Callithrix jacchus: one gene and its partners. The protein of the gene in region 6 binds, or shares a complex with, the protein of the main gene of each other region. Links are inferred from orthologs where the notes say so. Each region holds a gene or a part of one and is shown on either strand. Other genes may lie near its edges.

Region 1 (3,949 bases), on a different chromosome or scaffold from region 6:
AATACCTAGGAATACAACTAACAAGGAACGTAAAGACCTCTTCAAGGAGAACTACAAACCACTGCTCAACGAAATAAGAGAGGACACAAACATATGGAGAAACATTCCATGTTCATGGTTAGGAAGAATCAATATCATGAAAATGGCCATATGCCCAAAGTAATTTACAGATTCAACGTTATCCCCATCAAACTACCAATGAGCTTATTCACAGAACTGGAAAAAACCACCTTAAACTTCATATGGAACCAAATGAGAGTCCGCATAGCCAAGTCAATTCTGAGTAAAAAGAACACAGCGGGAGGCATCACCCTACTGGACTTCAAACTATACTACAAGGCTACAGTAATCAAAACAGCATGGTATTGGTACCAAAACAGCGATATAGACCAATGGAACAAAACAGAGGCCTCGGAGGCAACACAACAAATCTACAACCATACAATCTTTGATAAACCTGACAAAAAGAAGCAATGGGGAAAGGATTCCCTGTTTAATAAATGGTGTTGGGAAAAGTAGCTAGCTATGTGCAGAAAGCAGAAACTGGACCCCTTCCTGACACCTTACACTAAAATTAACTCCAGATGGATTAAAGACAAACATAAGACCTAACACCATAAAAACACTAGAAGAAAATCTAGGCGAAATTCAGGACATAGGAGTAGGCAAGGACTTCATGACCAAAACACCAAAAGCATTGGCAACAAAAGCCAAAATAGAAAAATGGGACCTAATCAAACTCCATAGTTTCTGCACGGCAAAAAAAAACAGTCATTAGATTGAATAGGCAACCAACAGAATGGGAAAAAATTTTTGCAGTTTACCCATCTGATAAAGGGCTGATATCCAGAATTTACAAAGAACTAAAACAGATTTACAAGAAAAAAACAAATAAGCCCATTCAAAAGGAAGTGAAGGATATGAACAGACACTTTACAAAAGAAGACATACATGTGGCCAACAAACATGAAAAAATGCTCATCATCACTGGTTATTAGAGAAATGCAAATCAAAACTACATTGAGATACCATCTCACGCCAGTTAGAATGGCGATCATTAAAAAATCTGGAGACAACAGATGCTGGAGAGGATGTGGAGAAATAGGAACACTTTTACAGTGCTGTTGGGAGTGTAAATTAGTTCAACCATTGTGGAAGACAATGTGGCGATTCCTCAAGGACCTAGAAATAGAAATTCCATTTGACCGAGCAATCCCATTACTGGGTATATATCCAAAGGAATATAAATCGTTCTACTATAAGGACACATGCACACGAATGGTCACTGCAGCACTGTTTACAATAGCAAAGACCTGGAATCAACCCAAATGCCCATGGATGATAGACTGGACAGGGAAAATGTGGCACATATACACCATGGAATATTATGCAGCAATCAGAAATGATGAGTTCGTGTCCTTTGCAGGGACATGGATGAACCTGGAGAACATCATTCTCAGCAAGCTTACACAAGAACAGAAAACGAAATACCGAATGTTCTCACTCATAGGGGGGTGTTGGACAATGAGAACACATGGACACAGGGAGGGGAGCACTACACACTGGGGTCTATTGGGGAAAATAGGGGAGGGACAGCGGGGGGTGGGGAGTTGGGGAGAGATAGCATGGGGAGAAATGCCAGATATAGGTGAAGGGGAGGAAGGCAGCAAATCACACTGCTGTGCACCTATGCAACTATCTTGCATGTTCTTCACATGTACCCCAAAACCTAAAATGCAATAAAATAAATACTTTAAATATATAAATAAATAAAAATTCAGGTGATACTTATTCTACAACTGACTCTTCTGCCTTGTACTGTATACAAACACCTTGGATGGGAATTGGCATACATTAGCCATTAAATCAATCAGAGAAACATTTTTCCATTCTAATGTGGTAATATTCCCCATTTCCCCCTTTCTCTGAATGACAGTCATCTCAGGTTTTAAAACCAGCTCAAAAGATAGCTTCTCCATGATGCTTTTCCTAACTTTCCCAATTGTTCACTACTCAGTATTACCATAGTAACATGGTCTCTTCTCTACAAGCACTCTTATCAGACATACAAGGCTTTTGTTTACCTGCCTGTCTCTAAACTGTAAGCTCTTCCTGGAAAACTACCTTACCTATGCCTCTTTGTATCTCCGGCGCCTAGTACAGTGCCCAGTGGCTAGCAGGCGTTCAATTAATGACTGTAGAAGAAATGGAGAATTAATGACCTCCAAGTTAAGCAAAGAATATATCAAACTCAAAAATGTACTTTTAAAAACTTAAGGCCCTAGATATAGGCTGCGTGAGTTGGGTTAAGGCAGAAAATATGACCGGAACGCTGCTGGATAGGGAAATCTCCACTTGACTTTTTCAAGTACATGCTGAGAAGTACCAGCTTCAGTGTTTCGATGCAACATTGTCCACAGGAAGAAGTAAAGACAACACTTCTCGTGGTCTCTTCCTACCACAAGATCCCTGAACCCATTCCCCACCCCAAATCCGGGAAATCTCATTTTGGGGATCTCAGGGCCCCAAGTTCCCTAGATGAAGCTCTCACCTTCCCATTCGTGGGAGGCTCCTGGATGTAGATGTTGCTCATCGCGATCAGTACTAAGGACTCTGCTCCTTATGGGGGATGAGAGTGGACGGCGGGTCACGAAAGCTGTCCGCCTACGAGCACACTCTTCGTTAAGTCGAGTGGTCCAGGAAAGCTTCAGTTTGTCAACATCACGCAAGACAGGAACACCAAACACTACCTTTGCCCAAAACAACCCCTCTCGGACGCCGCCATGTTGTTATCGGACCCGAGCACCGCTAATGCTGAGAAGGGTGATTCCAATGTACTCCTGGGTACAAAAAAAAGTCTGTAAAGCTACTATGGCTTAATGTAATTTGTATTACAACATTAGAAGAGGCACTTCGTAAGTTTTGGCGGTGTTTACTTCACTACTTGCGTGTGCAGATCGCACTCAGCACCCCCCAAAACTAACAGTAATGGTCCGGACCATGTGTCTTCTGCAATATGACTCGTCCGGAAACCGCATCTGCGTCTACTGGTTCTGTTGTCGCTAGAGGCTTACAGGGCCTTCCGACTGTAGCGAAGGTGCTGCCGCTCTGGGGAAGGCAAACGCCGCTTTGGCTGTGCCTTGTCCTCGCAGCTGGCGGGAAGCAAGCGCCTTTTCGAAAGCCGGAGGCTGCAGTGACCCCTGTCACCACCGTCATGGCGGTCCCAGGTAAGGAGCCACTGCGTCCGAGCTCGGAAGGGAGCGCAAGGGAGGATAGGGTAGGGTGCAGGATGTAGGGAGCAGCGCCCATGGGGATTTAGGTGGAGGCCTTAAAATTCATGAGTTTGTTTTGTTTACGTGAAAAAGTTTACAGTCCAAAGAAAAACTCTGAAGGAAAGAAAGTAACTATCTTCCTCCCCCCGCAACTGCATGGGATTACAGGGAAAGTATATCGTGGAAGGGAGGGAGAAGGGAGAGACTGTAATTGTAGGCCTAAGGGGGCAGGCGGCCAAGAAAAACTACCTTAACTGTGGTATGGCTTTAAAATAGAATTTGAAGTGGAAACACTTGGCCGACTCAGGTAACCGGAGCCATCGTTTGTCTTAGAAGTCGCTAGGACCTGCCGGGTGTCTGGGTTCTACTCCTAGCCTTTCCTGTTGTAGGTAGCTGCTCTGTGGCCACAGATTGGTCTCTTTGTGCTTCTGGGCCTCAGTTTTCTTATAAAAACATGGAGCTTTGTTGAATGATGTATAAGATTTCTTCTGAGTCTCAAATTCTGTGTCCAGAAGTTACTGCCCTAAAAATGGTGAACTCGCAGAATAATTAAAAGATTTTCTCGTCCTCAACTACTAGCTTACTTGGAAGTTCTAGTAGGGGAGTGCATCTCCTTAAACCGGCTTTGCGAACACTGGTTGCAGGAGATATTTTCAGGAATATACACTCCTCCACCC
Region 2 (3,500 bases), on a different chromosome or scaffold from region 6:
AGTGATGGCCTAAGGGGAAGGCAGGAAAGAAAATCAATGGAAAAGGCAGATATCTGGGGACCCTAAGTGCTCACTACCTTTTTAGTTCAAGCTTTGGGAAAACTAGCGAGGTAGGGAAGGCATGAAGAATCCCCCAGGAATGAACCTTCAGTGGTCTGGGGAAGAAAGCCCTGGGAGGAAATGTGGTACATAAGGGGAAGAGGGCATGTCCTCAGGCTGGAGGAGCTGCTGCATGCCACCAGGAAGCTACTGCGGGTAGAAGGCAGTAGGCAAAAGAAATGCTGACCTTGCGTACACGGATATAGTCCCCCTGGCAGGAACTGAGACCAACTTCTACACGTTCCAAGAGCCCTTCTAGCTGTTCCCGCACATCTCGGGCTCGGCGCATTGATCTGAACTGTACAAAGTTCTCATAGCACCACTGGGAAGAGTAACCACTCTCAGCCCACTGGGAAGAGAGTTAAAAAGAAAGGAGAGGTAGTTAAGTGTACAGCGAGACTGAAGTCCCCCCATGTCTCTTTCCCACTCACCCAAGCCCAGTGACCTGTGTGTAAACGTTTAGCAGAACCAGGTGGTCACCACCAGGAAGGAAGAAGTTGACACGGGCATTGTCAGCATGGACAACCTTGTCCTTTGGCCGGTAGAAGATGGAATTGTTGACAGACAGCATGGCAGCCACTGTCAGGATCTCCTCTGAACAGCTATACCTGGGACAGGAAGGGGAAAGCACGAGTTCAAAGCAAGACACATAAGCACAGATATGGTAGAGGGGGAAGTGACCGCTGTGTGATGGATGTTTCCTCATGTGGGGAAGGCTGGTTGGCATAATGGTTACAAAGCAGCCAGCAGATAGATTCTGGCAGCAGCTTGAGGGTCAAGGAGGTAGGAGCATAGATGAAACACAGTCACAAGGGAGGGATATCCATGGAGGCAGGAGCAGAAAACACTGGGGACTTCTGAGGTTTCTACAGAAAGTGTGCATTCACTATGTGCATTCGGAAAAGATCTCGACAGCAGAGGAATGGCATTTAAAGGTGGTCCCTCCACAGCTACATCTAAATGTTCTAGTTTGAAACCTTGGGAATGAGTAAGTTCCAAAACCAGCCCTCATTCAATAACCCTCCCAGATGGAAAATCTACTTTCGTTCATGACCCAGAATTTTCTGTCAGTCAGTCTTGCCCATTTAGTATAATCAAGGACAGGATCAAGGATCAAGTGTCTTACCCTTGTGGGCCTCAAAAGGGGGCATTCAGAGTTATCTAATAATTTATTATTTATTAAATAATAATATGAAGAGAAAAAGACAAAGAGACAAAGAAGACCCCAGAGACAGAGGAGGCCTGGGGGCCTGGGTGGAGAGGAGGGCTTACTTCTCAGAGGCTAGGATCATTTTGGACAGCATGGGATCCACCGGCAGCTCTGCCATCTTTCGACCAGACTAAGGAGAGAAGACAGAGAGTTGAGCCCGGTCCTCCCTCAGGATTCTCTCCATTGCTATAGGGGTCCCTGGAGCCATCCTGACCCGTATCATCCTGCCCCCACCCATGCTGCCCACCAACTCACCGTGGTGAGCTCCCCAAGGTGGTTGAGGGCTCCCAGGGCATACAGCTGCTCCAAAGCCAGCAGCAGTGTCTCATATGGTGGAGCGTCCAGGAAATCAAAGTGCATTAGGTCATGGATCCCTAGAGAGAGGTGGGAAGGATGGAACAGAATCCCTTCAAAGGACCATGACTCCAGCCCACCTCCCCCTTCTCTCAGGTAGCCCAGTCACCTAAGCTCTTGAGTAGCAACACGACATTGCCCAAGCTAGTCCTCTGGATCTCAGGCACTGTGGTTTCCTCAAGCTCGTGCTGATAGGCCCAGGCAGTATACAGGCGGAAGCACTTCCCTGCAGCCACCCGACCTGCCCTGCCAGCTCGCTGATTGGCTGAGGCCTGGAAAGAAAGGCGAGCAGGCTAGCTGACAATTTGGTTGGGGAAAAGAAAAAGGGCAGTATTTATGCAAGAAATTAAGATGGATGTAAACTGCTCATCCCCGTTTGCTAAGAAGCCCCCACCCTGCTTCTGGAGTTGGACCTTCCCTGTGGACCAATTCTACCTCCCTGACCCCCATGCATCCCCAAGCTGACCTTACTGCAGGGTATGACAGTGAGTGATTCCATTCCTGTGCGGGGGTTATAGCTCTTCTGCTTACAGAACCCTGGATCCAGCACATAAATGATGCCCTCAATGGTAAGTGATGTCTCAGCAATGTTTGTTGCCACAACCACCTGAGTGAGAGGATATGGGGTCACCCAGTGACCCTGCCAACCTCGTTACCCAGAAAAAGTCATCTTGGAAAGTTAGAAGTAGTAAAGCAGTTGCGGTAAGGGGCAGGAGCTGAGGGAATTAGTATCCAAGGTCAAGAGCAAGGGACAAGGACAGAAGACAGGGCAGAGGGAAATGGGGGCTGGGAGTCAGCAGGGGCACAAGGAGGAAAGAAAATGGAGAAGAGGACTTAGGGTGTTAATTTTTTCAGAAGGGGAATGGGAGTGTTCAAGTTCCTGTCCCGTCTTCCTCACCACCACTTCCATCTTCACACAACACTTCCTGTAAGAGCCTTCTAACACATCTCCCTGTTTCTACTCCCAACCTGTCAATGGCATCCAGGATGGTCCTTTTAATATATAAACATGTCATATCACTCCCCATCCTTCAGTGGTTTCCTATCCTACTCTAGAATGCAATCCAATCCCCTTAAAAGCCTGGATCACCTACCCTAGCTGCCTTTCTGACCTCATCTGCTAGCACTCCAACCCCTCCCTCACTCCTCCTGCACACTGCTTTGCTCTGCCCACGTACATGCACTCCTCACTGGATCATTTCATTTGCATCAGCTGTTCCCTCTGTCTGTGGCACTTTTCTCCCAAATATCAGCCTGGCTCCTCCCTCACCTGGTTTGGTCTCTATTCCACTTTCCCTTTACTGAAGGGCCTTCCCTATACCCCAAAACAAATATCTTCATGCCAGTCCTCACCCCCACCTCTCAGGAGTCAAGTTCCATCCTGCTATGCTGCCTTGTATCTCTTCACAGCACTGGCCATAAATTGACATTATGTATTTACGCATCTACTGTTTCCCCAACAGACCGCAAGTACAAGTAGGCTAGGGACTTTGTTTTGTGCATCACTGTATCAACTCATGTGTATCTGGCACCACACAGAAAGAACTCATGAAATATTTGTTGAATGAAAGTTACATCTCTGCTCAAAATCCTTTGATTGCTACTAAGCTGTCTAAAGTCCAAACTTCTCTGGACGTGGTGGCTCATGCCTGTAATCTCAGCACTCTGGGAGGCCAAGGCAGGCAGATGACTTGAGGCCAATAGTTCAAGACCAGCCTGGCCAACATGGCAAAACCCCATCTCTACTAAAAATTAGCTGGTTGTTGGCCGGGCATGGTGGCTCACACCTGTAATCCCAGCACTTTGGGAGGCCAAGGTGAATGGATCACCTGAGGTC
Region 3 (4,233 bases), on a different chromosome or scaffold from region 6:
GAAAATATGCATAAAAGATGGGTATACAGTAGTCTTTTGATATCGGTATCTTTCATGGTGTTTTCCTGGGTGGCTAGCTAATAAAAAACAAGAAGAGCATATGCAATAATGACTTTTTCCATTGTCCAAAATGTTTCAACCCCTACAAATAAGTCATAAAGTCAATTTCCTATGGGCAATGTATTTGTTTCAAAACACCTGGACCTTATAATAGGTGAAGGGGAGAAAGGCAGCAAATCACACTGCCACGTGTGTACCTATGCAACAATCTTGCATGTTCTTCACATGTACCCCAAAACCTAAAATGCAATTTAAAAAATTGCTCTCACTTAATTCACCCAATGCTTTTCAAAGGCAGATACTTTACTGATAAGGAAACACGACAAACAGGTAAGGAGGTCCAAGTTCTCAAGAGCTACAGCCCTCTCTCTGGTACAACGAAATAAAGGGATGGAGAAGGAAACGGATGGCAAGAAGGGACAAAGGGAAAGTTTCCTATAGATTCTATCTTAAGCTGATTGAGGGAGGGCAATCATCAGGAATCCATCCTCACAACAAACCCTTCATCCATTTTTCTGAGCCACCCTCGGAATCGCAGCTGCCAACAGGAGATGCTCCTACAATAAGCAGGAACCAAACTCAAATGTTTGCTGAACGAATGAAGGAACCAGAGTATGTAAAGTGGGAAACTAACTCTCCTGGGAAACCCACACCGTGTTAGGCCCTGGCGTGCCCCCAGGACACCTACAAGGGTGCCACGGGTATGACCTGGCCCACCTCGCTAGGCACCGCAGCAGAGAGACGGCGCTTCCGAGCGGCCCCCAGAGGAGCCCTCGCGGGCATCGCCGCACCTTCACTGGCAGCCCCACCCCAACCTGGGTCGCTCGGGATTCTGCCCGAGCCTAGGCCGGCGCGAGCGTCGACAGCCAGGAACCAGCAGAGAGGCAGGATCAAAGAGCACGGGAGTTGGAGACAAGGGAAAACTGGGGGACAGAGGCAGAAACTCGGATCCGAAAGGGGGGGTCTGTCCATCAGAGCACGCCGGAAGAGTGGCGCTCGAGCTGAGGGCGAGAGCGGGCGGGCCGGGACGCCAAGGCTCACGGCTGCTACGGCAGTTCGCGGGGGTGGCTTGCACCCCGGGGGGCGAGATCGCCGGGGGCGTACATTGGGGCTTACCTAACTCTCCCACCCGCGGAAGGGAAGCGGGGAACTACTGCCTCCTACCATCAGGTACGACGTGCTACCCAGGCCCACCCGCAAGCGCAGGGTTAAGGGGCGGAGATCCAGGGCCGCATAGCCAGTAGCAGAAAGAGAGGGGCGGGCAGATGGGGCAGCCCCGCCTAGACGCTCCCGTTCATTCCTCCCGCGGCCTTCCAAGTTTGGGCTAGACCGGAGCGGCGTGCTTAGAAGCCGGAAGTGGGTTGACGTAGCCCGGAAGGGGAAGCCGTCCGGGTTTTAGTTTTGATGTTTTCGGGCTGCTGTTGCTGCTGCTGCTGCTGCTGTTGCGGCTAGGGGAACCGTCGTGGGGAAGGATGGTCTGCGAAAAATGTGAGTTAAGGGGCTCCTCCTGCGGGAGGAAGAAACTGGGGGAACCTAAATGAACTCTCCCGGGAACTCTGCCTTCTCTTTTGTTTTTTCTTCGCCCACATCTTTGATTCTAGTCGCTGTCCTTCTGCTCTACCCTTTGACCATTTTTGCACCTCCCCAAAGACCATATAGTCCTATAGTATATTTTGTTTTCAGAATGGTCTTAGTTCTGCATCTCCTTGTCTATTTCCATTGCCTTCCCCCAGCTCCAGATCTCATCAGCTCCCCTCCCGTATAAAAATGTTCAGTTAAACCCCAATCACACCTTTCCCTCTTGCAATTCCTGACCTTTCCTTTTTATTCATGTAACACACTAGAACCAAAGACCAAGGACCTCGTCTTACTCATTCCTGTTAGTCATTATGCCAGAATATGGCTTAGAGTAAGCCCAGAAGATGTGTGAATTGAACATCAACGCAAGTGCAAGTTACTATTTCCCTAATTTAACACCTTTAATAAATTCTCAGTGTGCAGAGAACAATGTGGGGATTCTGTATTTGGAGCCTGACGTTCAGGACCCTCCGCAATAAGGCCCCAACTTATTTTTCCAGCTTCATCTTCACTGATCCTTACCCTCTTCACACTTTGACCAAACGTAACTACCCTTTGTGCCCATGTGTACTCGGAGCTTTCCATGCCTTTCCTCAGAATGTGTCCTTTATCAGTCTGCCTTTATCCTCTTTACTCCTTTTTGTTCACAGTCCTATTGCCACATATTCAAATCCTCTCTCTTGCCTTCTCCCCAAACTTTCTTGGATTTCCTTAGCCAGGGTTATATCTTCCTGCATGGAATTTCACCTAGTACTTTAGCTCTCAATTATTACACCGTTTAATTTTTAGCTTATATTTTGGTTGAATGATTCTCAGGTTCTCTCTGAGAATCTGAAGAAAGCTATAGACTCTTGCCAGGAAAGAAAAAAAAAAGATATATAAAAGGTTTGTGTACAATTCTGCCTTGTTCACATATCTCTTAAGATCGACCTGTGGAACATAGATTAAAGATTGCTGTTAAACTACTGTACTATAATCTCTTTAAAATTTTGTCTGATTCATCACTTATTTTTTTCAGTAATTTGTATAGTTTATACATCATAGATGCTTAGTAAATATGTATGGAACAAATAGACTTGCCAGATTTGTTTAAAGTATAAACAAACAGAGAAAGCTTATTATAAGCCATCTTATTATCCTACGGATTTTACTGTGGATCAGTCATTCATTGCCCACAGTTAATACAAGTCTCAGTTCACTGACTGCTCTCCCAGCATTAACAGGCTCCTGCAGTAATAGGACTGTTGATACCATTGTGAACCTTAGGCACAATGTGATGCACTTATGAAATACTAAATTTTAAATTGCTTTTTACTATCTTATTATAACAGGTGAAAAGAAACTTGGTACTGTTATCACTCCAGATACATGGAAAGATGGTGCTAGGAATACCACAGGTATTTCTTCTTTTAGAAAATAGGAATTTAACCAGAGACTCCTGTGAATATTTTATCTTTTACGTTATTTGTAAAATGAAATGTGTTCAAAGTATTTTGTCTATTAAACATGAAAGAATCCTGGGTCCCCAAGTTATTTAATATCTTCTACTTAGTTCTGTTACTTGTACAGGTTCCTAACATCAGGAGATAGCAAAATTATTAAATGATTGTCAAGTGGTGACAGTATCATAATATTTGATTTGATTCAGCTTATTTAGAGACTGCATTTAATTTCTCCGCTCTTCTGAGGAGAAATTTTTTTAAATCTGGTTTTTATATTCTTGAATAAATCCTTTAACCCATTTTACCTTCATTATCATTAATTACTTACAGTGAAGTATTTACCTTCATTATCATTAAATACATAAAGTATGTTTTCGAAGGGAAAGAAAAGAAACATAGACATTCAAGGTCTATGACACTGAAGTAGTGGGTTCTAGATTTTACAGTATATCAAGTAAATATAGACCCATTCCTAAGGTACTACCTTGAGTCTGAAAAATAAAATGATTGTATTTTATACAAATTTTTATTGTTTCTCTAATAAATGTTTTCTTTTTAAGCAGCGTCTTAATAACCTGACTGTTAAATGAAGATTTAAAAATTAGATATAGGCTACTAGTTTGGCAGAAAGTCAGAGAATGAACTTCTTAATGTTATATGTTAAATGTATAGAAGTAACCCTTTAAAATAACTTCTATTTTGATACAGAAAGTGGTGGAAGAAAGCTGAATGAAAATAAAGCTTTGACTTCAAAAAAAGCAAGGTGGGTAAGAGGATCCATAGAGAAGTCATATAATTTTCACTCTTTTAATGTTAAGCCTACTGGAGTGAATTTGATGTGCATCATTCCAATTGCAATAAAACATAGAGTTAGGTGGTTCCTGGCACTCAGAACCAAGCTATTTGTTATAACCTGCTGGTTTTACCTTATTCCTCCTTACTGTATGTCCCCCTCTGACTTCATATTGTACCATACTCCTCCTCATTCATCATATGCCATCCTCATTGGTTCTGCCAAGCCTCCCCCATCCAAAGAGATTTGTCCTTGCTGCTGTGTCCTCGAGGTCTTTACTGAGAGCTTACGTATCTGGCTCCTTGGTGTTTGGGTCTCAGCTGAAGGGTCTTTTCTCGGAGAGGTTTCCCTAATCAGCCT
Region 4 (3,500 bases), on a different chromosome or scaffold from region 6:
TAAAAAACAAAAACCATTCTTTGTTTTTCTAGAAACACATGGTATGTGACAAATATGATGTGTCAATAAAAAAGAGACACGTAGTGGAGTCAGAGAAGGAAAACAAAAAAATTACCTTCCAGTTCAAAAGCAGAGACAGCAGAACTGAACAAACAAAATGACAATGCTCACCTCAGGGATGGGCGAGTTCAGCCCAGGGATTTTCAGGTTGGGATACGACGGGGGTGGTCCATATCGCTGCATGGCAATCAGCCATGGGGGAGGGACCTTGTGGGCATTCTGCATGAAAAAGAGAACAGGATACCATCTGCCAAACCCTATCCCTGACTCTGCCTTCTGCCCCAATCCCCACCCTCTTCACTGCTTCCCCAGCCCACTGACACTCACTGGTCCTACTGGCATCCCCAAGGAAATCCTTAGCTCATCAGACAGATCTCCTGGCTTCTTCTCCTTCAGTCGTGTCTCAAACTCCTTCCCCTGAGGGAAAAGCAGAGCATACTGCATTGTAGACCCAGACACTCAGTGGGAGCACAACCGCAAGAGGATGTGAAAACAAAGGCGAGAAGTCCTAACCCACATCAGATAGAAAATCCCACTGAGGGCTAGCTGGCTCCCACTCTGATTCTCATCACTTCTTTCCCTGGCCAAAGTGGGGGAAGGAATATAAACCAGGGCGGAGGGGAAAAGCCCAGATTCCCAGTGCTGTCAATAACCCACTGTGAGAACATGGCCAACGTTAGGACCTGCCTTCTCATCTGTAAAATGAGGGCACTCAAAGGGATAATCTGCATTTAATTCTTCTACCTCATAAATTCCATGACATCATGGTGACTACGATTTCAAGGATCAGAAAATACCAACTTGTCTACCACCCTCAGTGTTAAGTTTCCTAAAAGCATCTTCCCCTTGGCTCCTTCATCCCTAAACCAACAACCACCAACTATTATCATTTCAAAGACAGGATACGAAAAGTCTATCCGACAAAGAAGTCACCAGGTCTGCATCTCTCCTTCAAAAAGGACCTCATTTTTAAAGTCCATCTCATCTGAAGGTAGTCAATGGGCAATTCTAAGGCTGAGGAACTACTGTAGTCACTTCAAAAGCCCTCCTGGGTCAGGTGCAGTGGTTTATTTTGGGAGGCTGAGGTGGGCAGATCGCTTGAGCTCAGGAGTTCTAGACCAACCTGGACAACATAGCGAAACTCTGTCTCTACCAAAAATTAAAAAAGTTGGCCAGGCATGGTGTGCCTGTGGTCCTGGCTACTTGAGGGGCTGAGATGGGAGAACTGCTTGAGCCCAGGAGGCAGAGGTTACAGTGAGCCCAGATCATTCCACTACACTCCAGCCTGAATAACAGGGTGAGACTCCATTTAAAAAAAAAAAGCCCTAGGCAGTCTCAACCCCAAGGCCCAAACTGGCCTCTCCCAGCCCCCTCCCAAACCTCATAGTACAGGTCCCCATGGATGGTCAGCTTTGGCTTGGTCTGCCACTTGAAGAAGGCATCATGTAGTTTCTGGTAGTCAATGTCAATCTTGCCCATTTTAGGCCGAACTTTCTCTCGCATTTTTGACTTCATGGTCTTCTGTTCTTCCTGTGGAGAATGGCAAAAGACAAGCTTTAACAAGTACTCACCAAATTCATGTAGAGAATCCAGCTTCCAGCTCCAAAAGAAATCAAGAGAAGCCTCAATTATGTCACCCTGAAAGTCACCAAGATCGTTCCTGCTCAAACCCTTCAAAACATTATCCATACTCAACAAAATAGACTACACCGTATCAGCCTCAGCTGTGTATACCAATAACTAGTTATTAAACCATCTCACCAAAGCTGAACCTCATCAGTTCTCTGAAAGGCAGAGACTTCCCCATGCTCTTTTGTACCTCCTGAGTCCAAAGCATTTAATTAAAAGCTTTAAAATTAAGAAGTTACAGCTGGGCACAGTGGTTCACACCTGTAAATCCAGCACTTTGGGAGGCTGAGGCGGGTGGATCACGAGGTCAGGAGATCCAGACCATCCTAACATGGTGAAACCATATCTCTACTAAAAATACAAAAAAATTAGCCAAGCATGGTGGCACACACCTGCAGTCCCAGCTACTTGGGAGGCTGAGGCAGGAGAATCGCTTGAACCCAGGAGGTGGAGGTTGCAGTGAGCGGAGATTGCACCACTATACTCCAGCCTGGGTGACAGAGCAAGACTCCTTCTTAAAAAAAAAATGTAAGAAGTTACACAACCACCATCAATCTGTAGCCACAAAGTGCATCTGGGAAACGAGTCACCAGGTGAGCTGGCAAAGTGAAGGCAGAGGAGAGGAAAAGCAGAGGAGGAAAACAAAGGGATAATTAGACAAGTAACAAGTAGGTGGTAGGTGGGTTTCAAACCAGGTTCCCATTTTGCAGCACTCTGCTGTGAATGATGGGGACACCCGAGGGCAAGTGTGAGCCCTGCCAGGACCTCACCTTCTCCTGCAGGGCCTCTCGCATCTCCTGGATGCCTGTGCGTTTGATGAAGTCTGGCAGCTCGAAGGGAGGCTTCTCAATGCCCCGTTTGCCCTGCAGGTACTTGCGCTTAAAACACCAGTGGCGTGGCACAGGCACGGAGTTCCGAGTAGCCTTGAGGTGGACCAAGAGCTTAGGGTCCTGCGCTGTCACATCGTGCATCTCCACGACATCGGGCCGAGCCACCAGCTGGAAAACACACAGGAATGCGTGTGTTGAAAGCCCCAACTTCTCAGGTTTGAAGCTCTTCTTCCCATTCCTCTTCCTCAAAGGACCTATACCCAAATCACCCACAACACTTCCTTCAAAGTTGTCACCTCCCTGGCTTCCCAGGTTGTCTCCCAGCTGGGCTCCAGGGCCCGCAGGATCCTCTCAGTTTCACCTGCTTAAGTTCAGCCACAGTGAAGCGGTTCATTCGGCGCAACTTCTTCTTGGACAGCTTGGGGGCTTCTGGCTTCTTTTCCTAGAACGGAACAATCACCTCTTTCGAGCAGGACTCAGATGTGAATGAAATTGCCCAACCCACCCCAACCTTAAGCCACCGAAGCTCTTCAAGAGTTCACCATGGTCCCTCTCTGGATGCCTCTCAGCCACCTGTGCCCAGAGTCCCTGCTTTCCGCCAGGACAGCCAGACCTGACCTGCTCGTCATCACTGCTGTCGTCATCACTGTCCTTGTGCTCCTCCTCAAAGCCCTTCTTCTTGGGGGCTGCAGAGTTCTCCAGTTTGTCAAGTTTCTCTGGCTCCTTCTCCTTCTCCTTCTTCACGTCATCAGTGAGCTGAGGAGGCAGACAAAGTGAAACCCCTGCCATCTGGGTCCCTTCCCAGTTCCTAAAACCAGCACTGAAAAGATGCCTGTTCCCTGCCTCTCACCCACCTCTGAGCCCCTTCCCTGTTTGGCACTGCCCCTTTCAAGTGTGCTCTTTTGTACCTTAAAAGCTTCAAAGATCCTCTTAAAGAAGATAAAGTTGGGCTCATAAATTTCTGGTTCTTCAGTCACATAC
Region 5 (4,221 bases), on a different chromosome or scaffold from region 6:
GTGCCCTCCAAAATTAGCTTGTTGAAGTACCAAACGCAAGTACCTCAGAATGTATTAATAGCCGTATTTGGAGATGAGGTCTTTACAGAGCTGATTAAGTTAAAATGAGCGTAGGGCCCTAATTCAATATGGCTGAGAAAAGACACCAGGACAGGAGAAAGATCATGTGAAGATGTAGTAAAAAGGTAGCCATCTACAAGCCAAGGAGAGAGGATGTTTTTCAGGAGAATCCAGACCTGCTAACATCCTCATCTTTGACTTCTAGCCTCCAGAATTACAAGAAAATGAATTTCTGTTGTTTAAACCACGTACTCTATGGCATTTCATTATGGTGGCCCTAGTAAACTAATACAGCCACTCTGGAAAACAGTCTGGTAATTGCTTAAAAAAATTAAACCTGCAACTACCATACAATCCAGCAATTGCACTTCTGAGCATTTATCCCAGAGAAATGAACTCTTATGTTCGCATATAATCCTATACACAAATGTCTATATAGCAGCTTTATGTGTAATAGCCAAAAAATGGAAACAAGCCAGATGTTCTTTAATGAGTGAGTGGCTAAATCCATGCTATTGGATATCACTCAGAAATAAAATGGAACAAACTACTGAGAGATGCAACCTGAATCAATCTCTGAAGGATTCTGCTGAGTGAAAAAAAGACAATCCTAAATTAGGTTACACATTGTATGATTCCATTTATGTAATATTCTTGAAATGAAAACATTACAGAAATGAAGAACAGATTAGAAGTTGCCAGAAGTTAAAGAATGATAAAGGTGGGAGATGAGTGGGTGTGGCTACAAAAGGAGAACAGGAGGTATTCCTTGTGGTGAAGGAAATGTTATCTTGACTATACTGATGTCAATATTCTGATGGTGATGCTGTACCACAGTTCTGTTATGAATAGATGTTACCACTGGGAGAAACCAGGCAGAGTATATCTCTCTGAATTATTTCTGACAACTGCATGTGAACCAACAATAATCTCAAAATAAAAAGGTGAATTTCAGCAAACAAGCAGAAAAAAAGAAATATACCCAATTTTCAGAAAAGCCCATTGGAAGTACAAGTAGAAATGTAGGCGAGTGTGCGTGCACACACACACACAACACACATACACAGCCCTCTCTAGCTATGATAGGAAAAGGCTCTCTATGTGGCCCCAACATCAAAACACCCCAATCCACTTACCTGCTTCACTTTGACTGTTGAGTGGTGAGGACTTCGGGTCCTCTTACTCCGAGGAGACTTGCTTCTTCTCCCTGAGGACTTGTTTTTCTTTTTGGGTGGGGACCTATACAAAGCATGGTACATACAGGATTTTACTCAATTTCCCTTCCCCCATAAAAATTAGCTTCCAGTATCAGGCTTACATACTAACACAAACACCACATTTGTGAAGGTCTCTGACAGACACATTATAGTCACGAGGTTCACTTTCCTAGCCCTAACATCTCCCTCGCATTCCACACTCACAAAGACAACTCTCTACTGAACCTTCTCACTTAGATAACATAGCTCTTAGTTCCCAAGCCTTCAAAAACCTTTCCTCTCCTACTCTTTGCCATCTTGTTAATTGGCATCACCATCCAGAAGTCACCTTTGACTCTTTACCCCTCACTACCAACACCCCTACCATCAATAACAATTTATCCATCCTGTGGTTCTGCTTCCTGCCTATACCATCTCATTCCTACCACCCACCTGCTTGACCACTATACTCCACTGACACTGGCTTTTTCCCATTTCAATCATGATTCATTCTACTTCAAGTGCTTTGCACATGTTGTTTCCTCTGCCTGGATCTTTCAGAGGCTGGATCATTCCTATCAGTCAGGTCGCAGTTCAAATGGCACCTCTTTAGAGGCCTCCTCCCTCTTCTCTCCAATCTCTCACTATCACAGTACTGTTTTAACCTGTCAATAATACTTGTTACTAACTGAAACCCACTTTATTTATTTCTTGTTATTGTCTGTCTCAGGGCTAGATTTGGAAACGGTGAAGACCATCTAACTGAATCACCCTTGCAGCCCCAAAACCTAGGGCAGTCTTTTAACACTTAACAGGCACTCAGTAAAACTACGCTGAAGGAACGCATAAATCTATGTGAACTTTTTTTTTTAGTTTCTGTCGACGTGAAAACTTTTTGGGCAGGTAATTGTAAAGACAACGCCCGCACTCCATTCCTCCATTCGGGATGAGGAGAATCTCATTCCAATTTAACAGATTATCTGTGCTACCTGCTGAGCCACACTTTGCAAAGTGCTGGGGACACAAGAATGGAGGGACGGGATCCTGCCAGTTAGGCATTAGGCGTTGAACACCGAGCTATCATGCAAGTGACTGAGCAAGCATAACACAGGCACGACTGGATCACTCTCAACCGCCTCTGGATTAGGTCCGGGCTAGCTGCGCCCAGCATTCAAAACCCGTTTCGGACGCTAGCCCTGCCCGCCTTTCTGAATGAGCCCAACCCTAGGTCCATCCTGGGCTGCTCCCCCACTTACCGGCTAACTCCTCGGGCTCGGTTCCCGCGGTGGCCCGGGCGGCTCGGCTCGCTGGCCGGCGGGGAAGGGCTACCGCCGGAGTGGTCCGGACGACGGTGGGCGGGAGGGGCGGCTTCCGGGCTGAGACGCTCCTGCTTCACCACCACCGTCGCCGGCAGCACCACATCCACGTCCCGGTGTCTTCGCCGGCTCCCTCGCTCCCGTTCGCTCTTCACCGCCTTCATTCTGTGATTTTGCCTGAGCGAAAGAAAACAGATCCGTTGAGCTCCTCTAGCTGAAGGAAATGACGTGTTTGACTCCTGGATTTCCGCTTCCGGGGTGCCCCGGTTCCCATATATCTTCGCGGCAGAGAGATTAAACAGGTGACGACTCCCCAGTGAGCGTGGTCAGTGACTAGGTTTGGTGGCAGGAGTTTCGGGTTTCAAAAACAAACTTCTGGCCTGGCGCGGGGGCTCACGTCTGTAATCCCAGCACTTTGGGAGGCCGAGGCTGGCGGATCACCTGAGGTCAGGCGAGCATCCTCGCCAACACGGTGAAACCCCGTCTCTACTAATGATACAAAACAATTAGCTGGGCATGGGGGCGTGCGCCTGTAATCCCAGCTACTCGGGAGGCTGAGGCAGGAGAATCGCATGCACCCGGGAGGCGGAGGTTGCAGTTGCAGTGAGCTGATTGCGTCACCGCACTCCAGTCTGGGCTACAAGAACGAAACCGTCTCAAAAAAAAAAAAAAAAAAGAGCAGGGCTGGGCGTGGTGGCTCACGCCAGCACTTTCGTAGGCTGAGGCAGGCGGATCACTTGAGGTCGGGGGTTCGAGACCAGCCTGGCCAACACGGTGAAACCCTGTCTCTACTAAAAATACAAAAATTAGCCTGGTATGGTGGTGCAAACCTATAATCCCAGCTATTTAGGAGGCTGAGGCAAGAGAATCGCTTGAACCCAGGAGGCGTAGGTTGCAGCGTGCGGGGATTGCACCACAGCACTTCAGCCTGGGTGACAGAGACATCACAAAAAAAAAAAAAAAACCTGGAAAAAAGCAAACTTCTCAAGGCTGTTTGTTGCCACGTTATTAGTAATTACAAAACGTGAAAACAATGTAAATGCTCAGCAATAGGGAAGTTAGCCAAATTAATGGGTGTTATGTGGCCATTAGTAAACCATTTACAAACTCTAAAACATGTTAACGATAAAGCAGGATACAAAATTGTGCACAAACTGTAATTACATTTACATTTGGAAATAGAAGGGAGAAAGAAATGGAAATGCAATCAGAGATGAGAACCCATGGTCAAATCATTAGCGTTTCCTCTTCTGTTTAATAAACTTTCTGCAATGCTGTTGGGGCTCAGAAACTGAAACCCCAAAATAAGGCACATTGACTTGCTGAACTGAAGAAGCCTCGATGTTCCTTCCTTGAATCCACCGTCTCTCCCAAAGCACAGGACTTTATCTGTCTAATATCCAGACTACCAAAAGGAATAATTGTTTCTTTCTTCTCCTCCCAATAATGTAATCACACCTGACCAGAGACCCTTATACTGTCAAAAGAGCTATTTACAGCTAAGTACAGTGGCAGCAGCCTGTAATTCCAATGCTTTAGAAGTGCAAGACAGGAAAATCGTTTGAAGTCAGGAGTTCGTGATCAACCTGCCCAATATAGCAAGACTCTGTCTCTATAAAAAATTAAATTGTCAGGGACTGTTGCCTCGA
Region 6 (3,500 bases):
TTATTCCCCCATTTACCAGTCGCACGTGCTAAATTGTGTCACAGAAAACTTACACTGTAGCAGAACAGTATTCTTTTGTAGTCCAGTATTTACTGTGGCTTGGTAGATTAATTAGTTGCCTTCCTTGTATCATACTAATAACTGCCCAATTCTTTTCCTCTTGAGGTGTGGATGTCAGCATGAATACACATCTTAAAGCTGTGAAAATGACCCTGAAGAACAGAGAACCTGTACAGCTGGAAACGCTGAGTATTCGAGGAAATAACATTCGATACTTTATTCTACCAGACAGTTTACCTCTGGATACACTACTTGTGGATGTTGAACCTAAGGTGAAATCTAAGAAAAGGGAAGCAGGTAAGTTTGAAGGAATATAAACATTTTTTTGAATGCCAATCCTAATCTACACTACTCATAATATAAATATTTGTAAACAACACAAGTGTCTTTGTTGCTTAATATTTCCTATAGTATGTATTATAACTCCTGGAGTTGCTGTTAAAAACATTGATGTATTTCCTGTTCAAAGGATTTATCATTTTCTGTCCCCTGCCCCCACTTTGGAAGATTTGGAGATGGACTCTTTATTCCTAGTATTCTGAAATTTCTTAATGTCTTGGTATAGGGGCTTCTCATGTCTGTAATTGCAGCTATTTGAGAGGGTGAGGTGGGAGAATTGCTTGAACCCAGGAGGTGGAGGTTGCAGTGAGCCAAGATGCCACCACTGCATTCCAGCCTGGGCAACACAGAGTGAGATCCTGTCTCAAAAATAAATAAATTAAATTAAATTTGTTTTTAGGCTGGATGCAGTGGCTCATACCTATAATCCCAGCACTTTGGGAGGCTGAGGTGGGCGGATCACCTGAGGGCAGGATGAACTCCCAGTCTGATCAGCATGGAGACTCTTTAACAGACCAGCCTGACCAATATGGAAAAACCCCATCTCTACTAAAAGAACTTTGTTTTCTTTTTTTGAGATGGAGTCTCGCTCTTGTCACCCAGGCTGGAGTGTAATGGTATGGTCTTGGCTCACTTCAACGTCCACCTCCCAGATCCAAGCTAATATTCTTCCTCAGCCTCCCAAGTAGTTGGGACTACAGGCTCTTGCCACCACACCCAGCTAATTTTTGTATTTTTAGTAGAGGCAGAGTTTCACCATGTTTGCCAGGATGGTCTTGATCTCTTGACCCCGTGATCTACCCACCTTGGCCTCCCAAAGTGCTAGGATTACAGGCGTGAACCACCAAGCCTTACCTATTTTCTTTCTTTAAAAAGAAAAAGAAGCCAGGCATGGTGGCTTCCAGTACTTTGGGAAGCCCAGATGGGTGGATCGCCTGAGGTCAGAGTTTGAGACCAGCCCGGCCAACATAGTGAAACTCCATCTCTACTAAAAACACACAAAAAAGAGCCGGGCATGGTGGTGGGTCTGTAAAGGCTGGACTGCAGAGTGAGACCCTATATCCAAAAGAAAATTTAGAATGTGACTGTATCAGGATTTTCTAATATTTATAGCTGTCTGAAGATGAAATGTTTATTTGGGTGATGAGTTCTCTGTCATCATGATACTCAACTTGAGTTAGGATGACCAAGTGACAGGGATATTGCTATATGGGTTAAAGCACTAGATTATGTTTGGGTCAAATGAATTTTAATTTTCTGAAGAGTTAATAAGATTGTGATTGATATCATAGTTATAAACTTTCCTGGATTTGAATTAACTTGCTTGGATTTTATTCAGTTACCAGACTCTGGCATCAGGTTATTCATGTTCTATTGATATATCTCTTCCATTTTTTGTGAGGTTCAAATCATTTTATGGTGAATTTGAGACATGATATAAAGAAAACATATTTAAAATTTGACAAATTTCTTAGTAAATAAATTGAAACAAATAATAATCTTCCTAGGCCTTTAGTTCTTGGTTCTGCATGATAATGTGTTGAGGGGGTGGCGGGAAATCTGAAGTCTTAACACATTTAAGAGAAGCTAGTTAAACTTAACTTTACTGTAACTGCTAATAAAGAGCTATAAACGGGGAAAGGTGTCTGTGTGTAAACGCTGTTTGTGGTGGCTAGGTAACATTCATGCAGAAGAGAATTGAATTTGCTTTGTTTTTCTTTTCCCTCAGTTGCAGGAAGAGGCCGAGGCCGAGGCAGAGGAAGAGGACGTGGCCGTGGCAGAGGAAGAGGGGGTCCTAGGCGATAATGTTTCTCATGATTACTGTTTCAAAGTCATATGGGATCTGGGATATTTTTTGTACAGGTTGTGTTTGTTTATGTCAGTTTTTAATAAACATAAATGTGGGACAGAGTGGTCTATTGAGTATATCAGAGTTTTAGTAGTTTCCTCCACATTCATAAGAATACCACAGTGAAAGCTAAGCATTTCTACTGGGCAGTTTCATTTTTAGATGATCAGGCTTTAAGTTTTGAACTAAAATTTTTATTTTTATGATAATAAAAATAAGGTTAAAAGAAAAGCCTCAGACAAATTAAATTTGACAGTTTAATTGAGCAAAGAACAATTCATAAATCAGCCCCTGAACCAGAATCGGTTCAGAGGCTTCAGCCCAGCTGCATAGTTGATGAGGATTTATGGACAGAAGAAGGAAAGAGATGTATGGAAAATGGAAGTGAGATACAGCAACAGCTGGATTAGTTACAGTTCAGCGTTTGCCTTATTTGAATATAGGTTGAACAGTTCGCAGCCTTTGATTGGCTGAAACTTAGTAATTGGCCCAAGAGTAGGGTACCATCTGTTTACATAACCAGTTAGGCTGCAGTTCACTTTGTACTGAGAAACCTTTAGGCTAAACTTAAGATATGTAAAGAGACAACTTTAGGCTAAACTTATATAGAATATATACCCTTTTACTTCACATGCACTGAATGTGCATTTTATTGCTTTACTCTGACATCATTCTGTGGCACCCACCTACAAGGGGAAGTAAGTTCTTTTTGGTATTTCAGAAACTAAAGTCCTTGTGGGATGGGGTCTAAAATTCTCAATTCCTGGGGGGCCGGGCGCGGTGGCTCAAGCCTGTAATCCCAGCACTTTGGGAGGCCGAGGTGGGTGGATCACGGGGTCAAGAGATCGAGACCATCCTGGTCAACATGGTGAAACCCCGTCTCTACTAAAAATAACAAAAAACTATCTGGGCATAGTGGCACGTGCCTGTAATCCCAGCTACTCAGGAGGCTGAGGCAGGAGAATTGCCTGAACCCAGGAGGTGGAGGTTGCAGTGAGCTGAGATCCTGCCATTGCACTCCAGACTGGGTAACGAGCGAAACTCTGTCTCAAAAAAAAAAAAAAAAAAAAAATTTCGCTGTTCCTGAGTTTTACTCCACAGAGTCTAAGGTACTTGGTAAAAAGTTGTCTTCTATATTAAGGGTCATTGCTTTTGTTTTCTAGCTGCTGATTTTTGTTTCTTTTGCTTTTTAATCAGTTCTCAATAGGGTATAGTTTTAATGTTCTCCAAGTTGAAACTTGGAGTTAAATGT
Region 7 (4,170 bases), on a different chromosome or scaffold from region 6:
GCATGATCTCAGCTCACTGCAACCTCCAACTCCTGGGTTCAAGCAATTCTCCTCTCTCACCCTCCCGACAGGTTCAGGCAATTCTCCTGTCTCACCCTCCTGAGTAGTTGGGACTACAGGTGCCCACCACCATGCCTGGCTAATTTTCTGTATTTTTAGTAGAGACAGGGTTTCATCATGTTAGCCAGGATGGTCTCGATCTCCTGACCTTGTGATCTACCCGCCTCAGCCTCCCAAAGTGCTGGGATTACAGGCAAGAGCCACCACACCCAGCCCCCACCATTTTTTTTTTTAAGACGGAGTCTCACTCTGTCACCCAGGCTGGAGTGAAGTGGCATGATCTCGGCTCACTGCAACCTCTGCCTCCCAGGTTCAAGCGATTCTCCTGTCTCAGCCTCCCGAGTAGCTGGGGATTACAGGCACACGTCACACACCCAGCTAATTTTTTATATTTTTGGTAGAGATGGGGTTTCACCATGTTGGCCAGTCTGGTCTTGAACTCCTGACCTCAAGTGATCCACCTGCCTCGGCCTCCCAAAGTGCTGGGATAACAGGCATGAGCCACTGTGCCTGGCCAAAATTCTCCTTTTCTTGAAACACTAAGTAACATCTCCGGAATACCAGTGTTCCTTAGAATACACATTGGAGAACTTTTTTTTTTGAGACGGAGTTTAGCTCTTGTTACCCAGGCTGGAGTGCAATGGCGCGATCTCGGCTCACCGCAACCTCCGCCTCCTGGGTTCAGGCAATTCTCCTGCCTCAGCCTCCTGAGTAGCTGGGATTACAGGCACACGCCACCATGCCCAGCTAACTTTTTGTATTTTTAGTAGAGACCGGGTTTCACCATGTTGACCATGATGGTCTCGATCTCTTGACCTCATGATCCACCCGCCTCGGCCTCCCAAAGTGCTGGGATTACAGGCTTGAGCCACGCGCCTGGCCTCACATTGGAGAACTTTTAGAGCCATCTTTCTCCTTCTGAGCCTTCCGACCTCTGGCTTTCCCCTCCCATACCTGTACTTCCGGCGGCAGCAACTGTTATAGTCGGGGGCTCTGTGCAGAGCACTCTGGGTGATAAGTCGTGTCTGGGTTAGCAGAGGAGCCTGATAAGGAGATGGGAGACAGAGTCAGAGGCTTCAGCCCTCTTCCCTTCCAGCCTGGTGTGTGCAGCAGGGTCTTGACTAGAATACACTCTCCATTCTGATTACCTCAGCTTTGGTTTCTTCCCTTCTCAATTCATTCTGATGTCTTGGATTCTGCTTCCTCTCCTTTCCTGGCTGCTTCTTGCCATAGAAAAGCTGCAAGCCTGAGGAGAAAGGGAAACAAGACTAAAAGCATAGCACCAAGAGCGGTGTGCAGAAATTTCGAGGGTTTATTCCCCATACCCTGTCTTTCCCCAAACTTACTGGATAGATGTTTCTTGCCTGCTCGGTGGGCAGTCAGCATAGCCAGGGTGTCCAGTACTGGTCGATGGGGGCAGATGGCACAAGCAAAACTGAGCAGGGGGAGAGAAGAGGATAATTGGTCCAGGGGAAGAGGGTGGGGCCAGTCCCTACAGTAAGTCCCACCCTGTCCTAGCAGTCCTTTCCAAAGCCCAACTCCAGGTCATCCAATCCCCACTTCTTCCGATCCTCACTTCCGGCCAAGGAATCCTAGATACTCCTGCTGTCCTGATTAATAACAAAAGTTTGGGGCCGGGCGCCGTGGCTCATGCTTATAATCCCAGCCCTTTGGGAGGCCGAGGCGGGTGGATCACGAGGTCAAGAGTTCGAGACCATCCTGGTCAACATGGTGAAACCCCGTCTCTACTAAAAATACAAAAAAATTAGCTGGGCATGGTGGCACGTGCCTGTAATCCCAGCTACTCAGGAGGCTGAGGCAGGAGAATTGGCTGAACCCAGGAGGCGGAGGTTGCGGTGAGCCGAGATTGCGCCATTGCACTCCAGCCTGGGTAACAAGAGCGAAACTCCGTCTCAAAAGAAAAAAAAAATTAGCTGGGCATGATGGTGCGTGCCTGTAGTCCCAGCTACTCGGGAGGCTGAGGCAGGAGAATTGCTTGAACCCAGAAGGCGGAGGTTGCGGTGAGCCGAGTTCGTGCCATTGCACTCCAGTCTGGGTAACAACAGCGAAACTCCGTCTCAATCAATCAATCAATCAATCAATAAAGTTTGTTGAAGCCGGGCATGGTCGCGCCCGCCTGTAATCCCAGCTACTCGCGACGCTGAGGAAGCAAGATCACTTGAGCCCTAGAGTTTGAGGACAGCCTGGGCAACACAGAGAGACCTCTATCTTTTGTTTGTTGAGCCTCTAACCATAGAACCCTCAGGCTTGGGCCACTCCTCGCTCTTACCGTCCATCCCGAAGCATCAGCGCCTCATCCTCTGGGATGTAACTGGCTAGCAGATCCCCGACTCTTCTTTTCTGCAGGGAGAAGGGGAAAAAATCCGGACGGCATCAGCAGATAGGAGAAACGGATGGAAGTGAAATGAGAGAAATGAGGAGTCAAATGGAATAAGGACCCTGGGGAGAATAGTGATCATAGACCGAAAAAGGTGTCACTACCCAGCTCTAAGTCGCCTCTTTCTCTCCCGCACCCCCGAGCTGTTGCCAGTGCAACAAAACAAAGCTCCTTCCCAACCTTCAGAGAGCGACTGAAGCTGCCCTGGATCCTCTCTGCTCACGCTTACTTTGAGAACATTGAGTTGACTCCAATCGTCTCCTTCCCTCTTGAAAGACATCACGACTGTGAGTCCCAGAAATGATAAATTCTCTTGTTCCGGTTTCTCAACTCCTCCAGGCCACCGTAGCAAGAGTGGGACAACTCTTTCTCTGTTTTCAGTCTCTTCCTGTCGGCCTCCGTACTTCCGGGGATGCGCTTCCACACAGGCTTTGCGCGTCCGGAAATCTACTCGCTGGTGCACGGAGGGAACTGCATTTCCTATGGTGCCCTGCGACACTGCAGACGCCGAGCCTTTTGGGAAATGAAGTCTTTTCTCAAAGAGCTTGCCGCTCTGCTGGATCCAGGCCCTCGCATCCTGGCGGATCTGCGGCATTTGGAGGGACAAGAAGCTAGATGTGGAGCCGAAATGTGAGGGTGTGACCTCTCTGATGAGTGGAAGGTGTACTACAGACTCTCGCAATCTTCGCGCTCTTCATCTGCGGCGACAGTTCACCTGGGGTGGGCTGATTTGTTTCTGACCCTAGCGGACGAACCCCGGGACCGGGCAGACCCGGGATGCGAGAGCCCCCAGAGGCCAGGCTACCGGACTTGGGGGCAAACTGAGGAAAGACTGTTGAGGATTATTTCTAGAGGTCAAAGGTCAGAGGTCAATGTAGCGAGGAGTTGTGGGGGGTTCACAGTCGGTGGGGTGCTTAGGGGAGAGATTCAGGGAGGGACTGAATACTCAAGGGACAGATTTGTGGATAACAAGCTTGGAGAGAGGAGAAACCGGGAGGGGGCAGGTGGCGTAGTGCCGGGGAGGCGGGGACACAGGGGAAGAGAGAAGGGGAAAGGAATCCCTTGAATATCCATTCCCAGACTTAAGGCCTGTCACCCTTAGTCTCGGCCGGGCCTTCCCCAGTTGCAACCCTACCTGTCGTTAGGGTGAAGAGATGGCTTCCCCGTCTAGACAGCCCCCCCCAGGGGGGTCAGGACTTCTTCAAGGGAGCCGGGCTCGTTCATATGGAAGCCTCGTGCAATCGGCCTGCTCCCCAGTGAGGGAGAGACGCCTGGAGCATCACTTGGAGCCTGGAGACACCCTGGCTGGACTAGCACTCAAATATGGGGTGACGGTGAGTTTTCCAGGATTGGGGTGCAGACAACAGTCAGGAGGGATTTAGTCCTGAGAAGAATGTAGTGGCCTTTCTAGGTAAACTCCTCTGAAAAGTTCCTAAAGTGTTACACCTGTTCTGCCTTTATCTTTGTTTTCCCATCACAGTGTTGCACTGCCGGGTTGGGACAAGTCCTGTCCTACTATTCCAATGGAGAGGAACAGCTCCAATTTTACTATGCCAGACACTGTGCTGGGGGCTTCACATACATTAGCTCATGTCACCCTCACACCCTATCAAGTACATTTATTGTTTCCTTTTGGCAGATGAAGAAACTGAGACTTGGATTGGTTAACCAGTTTGACTAAGGTCAAATAATGAGTGTCAGATTTGGGATTC

The links.
Region 1: SNRPD1 (region 6) and CWC27 share a complex: the UniProt entries of both Homo sapiens proteins name them as parts of the minor spliceosome. The link is inferred for Callithrix jacchus from reciprocal best matches to the Homo sapiens genes SNRPD1 and CWC27.
Region 2: SNRPD1 (region 6) and DHX16 share a complex: the UniProt entries of both Homo sapiens proteins name them as parts of the minor spliceosome. The link is inferred for Callithrix jacchus from reciprocal best matches to the Homo sapiens genes SNRPD1 and DHX16.
Region 3: SNRPD1 (region 6) and CRIPT share a complex: the UniProt entries of both Homo sapiens proteins name them as parts of the minor spliceosome. The link is inferred for Callithrix jacchus from reciprocal best matches to the Homo sapiens genes SNRPD1 and CRIPT.
Region 4: SNRPD1 (region 6) and SF3B2 share a complex: the UniProt entries of both Homo sapiens proteins name them as parts of the minor spliceosome. The link is inferred for Callithrix jacchus from reciprocal best matches to the Homo sapiens genes SNRPD1 and SF3B2.
Region 5: SNRPD1 (region 6) and SNIP1 share a complex: the UniProt entries of both Homo sapiens proteins name them as parts of the minor spliceosome. The link is inferred for Callithrix jacchus from reciprocal best matches to the Homo sapiens genes SNRPD1 and SNIP1.
Region 7: SNRPD1 (region 6) and SCNM1 share a complex: the UniProt entries of both Homo sapiens proteins name them as parts of the minor spliceosome. The link is inferred for Callithrix jacchus from reciprocal best matches to the Homo sapiens genes SNRPD1 and SCNM1.

The regions. Positions count from the first base shown.
Region 1 is NC_133503.1:144,762,449-144,766,397, forward strand, and holds the start of CWC27 (spliceosome-associated protein CWC27 homolog), read right to left. Parts: upstream 2,801-3,949; 5' UTR 2,594-2,800; coding exon 2,552-2,593; intron 1-2,551. Other genes in the region: protein SREK1IP1, read left to right, coding at 3,215-3,227. UniProt on the Homo sapiens protein: As part of the spliceosome, plays a role in pre-mRNA splicing. Probable inactive PPIase with no peptidyl-prolyl cis-trans isomerase activity. As a component of the minor spliceosome, involved in the splicing of U12-type introns in pre-mRNAs.
Region 2 is NC_133505.1:35,451,228-35,454,727, forward strand, and holds part of DHX16 (pre-mRNA-splicing factor ATP-dependent RNA helicase DHX16), read right to left. Parts: intron 2,271-3,500; coding exon 2,130-2,270; intron 1,936-2,129; coding exon 1,773-1,935; intron 1,684-1,772; coding exon 1,565-1,683; intron 1,440-1,564; coding exon 1,372-1,439; intron 708-1,371; coding exon 545-707; intron 449-544; coding exon 287-448; intron 10-286; coding exon 1-9. UniProt on the Homo sapiens protein: Required for pre-mRNA splicing as a component of the spliceosome. Contributes to pre-mRNA splicing after spliceosome formation and prior to the first transesterification reaction.
Region 3 is NC_133515.1:68,132,468-68,136,700, reverse strand, and holds the start of CRIPT (cysteine-rich PDZ-binding protein), read left to right. Parts: upstream 1-1,433; 5' UTR 1,434-1,532; coding exon 1,533-1,548; intron 1,549-2,969; coding exon 2,970-3,035; intron 3,036-3,788; coding exon 3,789-3,843; intron 3,844-4,233. Other genes in the region: PIGF (GPI ethanolamine phosphate transferase, stabilizing subunit), read right to left, coding at 1-77, 778-1,032. UniProt on the Homo sapiens protein: As a component of the minor spliceosome, involved in the splicing of U12-type introns in pre-mRNAs. Involved in the cytoskeletal anchoring of DLG4 in excitatory synapses.
Region 4 is NC_133511.1:123,134,727-123,138,226, reverse strand, and holds part of SF3B2 (splicing factor 3B subunit 2), read right to left. Parts: coding exon 3,428-3,500; intron 3,276-3,427; coding exon 3,138-3,275; intron 2,962-3,137; coding exon 2,881-2,961; intron 2,688-2,880; coding exon 2,460-2,687; intron 1,591-2,459; coding exon 1,441-1,590; intron 478-1,440; coding exon 388-477; intron 280-387; coding exon 172-279; intron 1-171. UniProt on the Homo sapiens protein: Component of the 17S U2 SnRNP complex of the spliceosome, a large ribonucleoprotein complex that removes introns from transcribed pre-mRNAs.
Region 5 is NC_133508.1:74,105,689-74,109,909, forward strand, and holds the start of SNIP1 (smad nuclear-interacting protein 1), read right to left. Parts: upstream 2,801-4,221; 5' UTR 2,737-2,800; coding exon 2,513-2,736; intron 1,300-2,512; coding exon 1,197-1,299; intron 1-1,196. UniProt on the Homo sapiens protein: Required for pre-mRNA splicing as component of the spliceosome. As a component of the minor spliceosome, involved in the splicing of U12-type introns in pre-mRNAs. Down-regulates NF-kappa-B signaling by competing with RELA for CREBBP/EP300 binding.
Region 6 is NC_133514.1:64,593,271-64,596,770, forward strand, and holds part of SNRPD1 (small nuclear ribonucleoprotein Sm D1), read left to right. Parts: intron 1-165; coding exon 166-357; intron 358-2,128; coding exon 2,129-2,205; 3' UTR 2,206-3,500. UniProt on the Homo sapiens protein: Plays a role in pre-mRNA splicing as a core component of the spliceosomal U1, U2, U4 and U5 small nuclear ribonucleoproteins (snRNPs), the building blocks of the spliceosome.
Region 7 is NC_133519.1:11,058,873-11,063,042, reverse strand, and holds the start of SCNM1 (sodium channel modifier 1), read right to left. Parts: upstream 2,801-4,170; 5' UTR 2,739-2,800; coding exon 2,688-2,738; intron 2,422-2,687; coding exon 2,351-2,421; intron 1,496-2,350; coding exon 1,407-1,495; intron 1,307-1,406; coding exon 1,209-1,306; intron 1,104-1,208; coding exon 1,015-1,103; intron 1-1,014. Other genes in the region: LYSMD1 (lysM and putative peptidoglycan-binding domain-containing protein 1), read left to right, coding at 3,613-3,792. UniProt on the Homo sapiens protein: As a component of the minor spliceosome, involved in the splicing of U12-type introns in pre-mRNAs. Plays a role in the regulation of primary cilia length and Hedgehog signaling.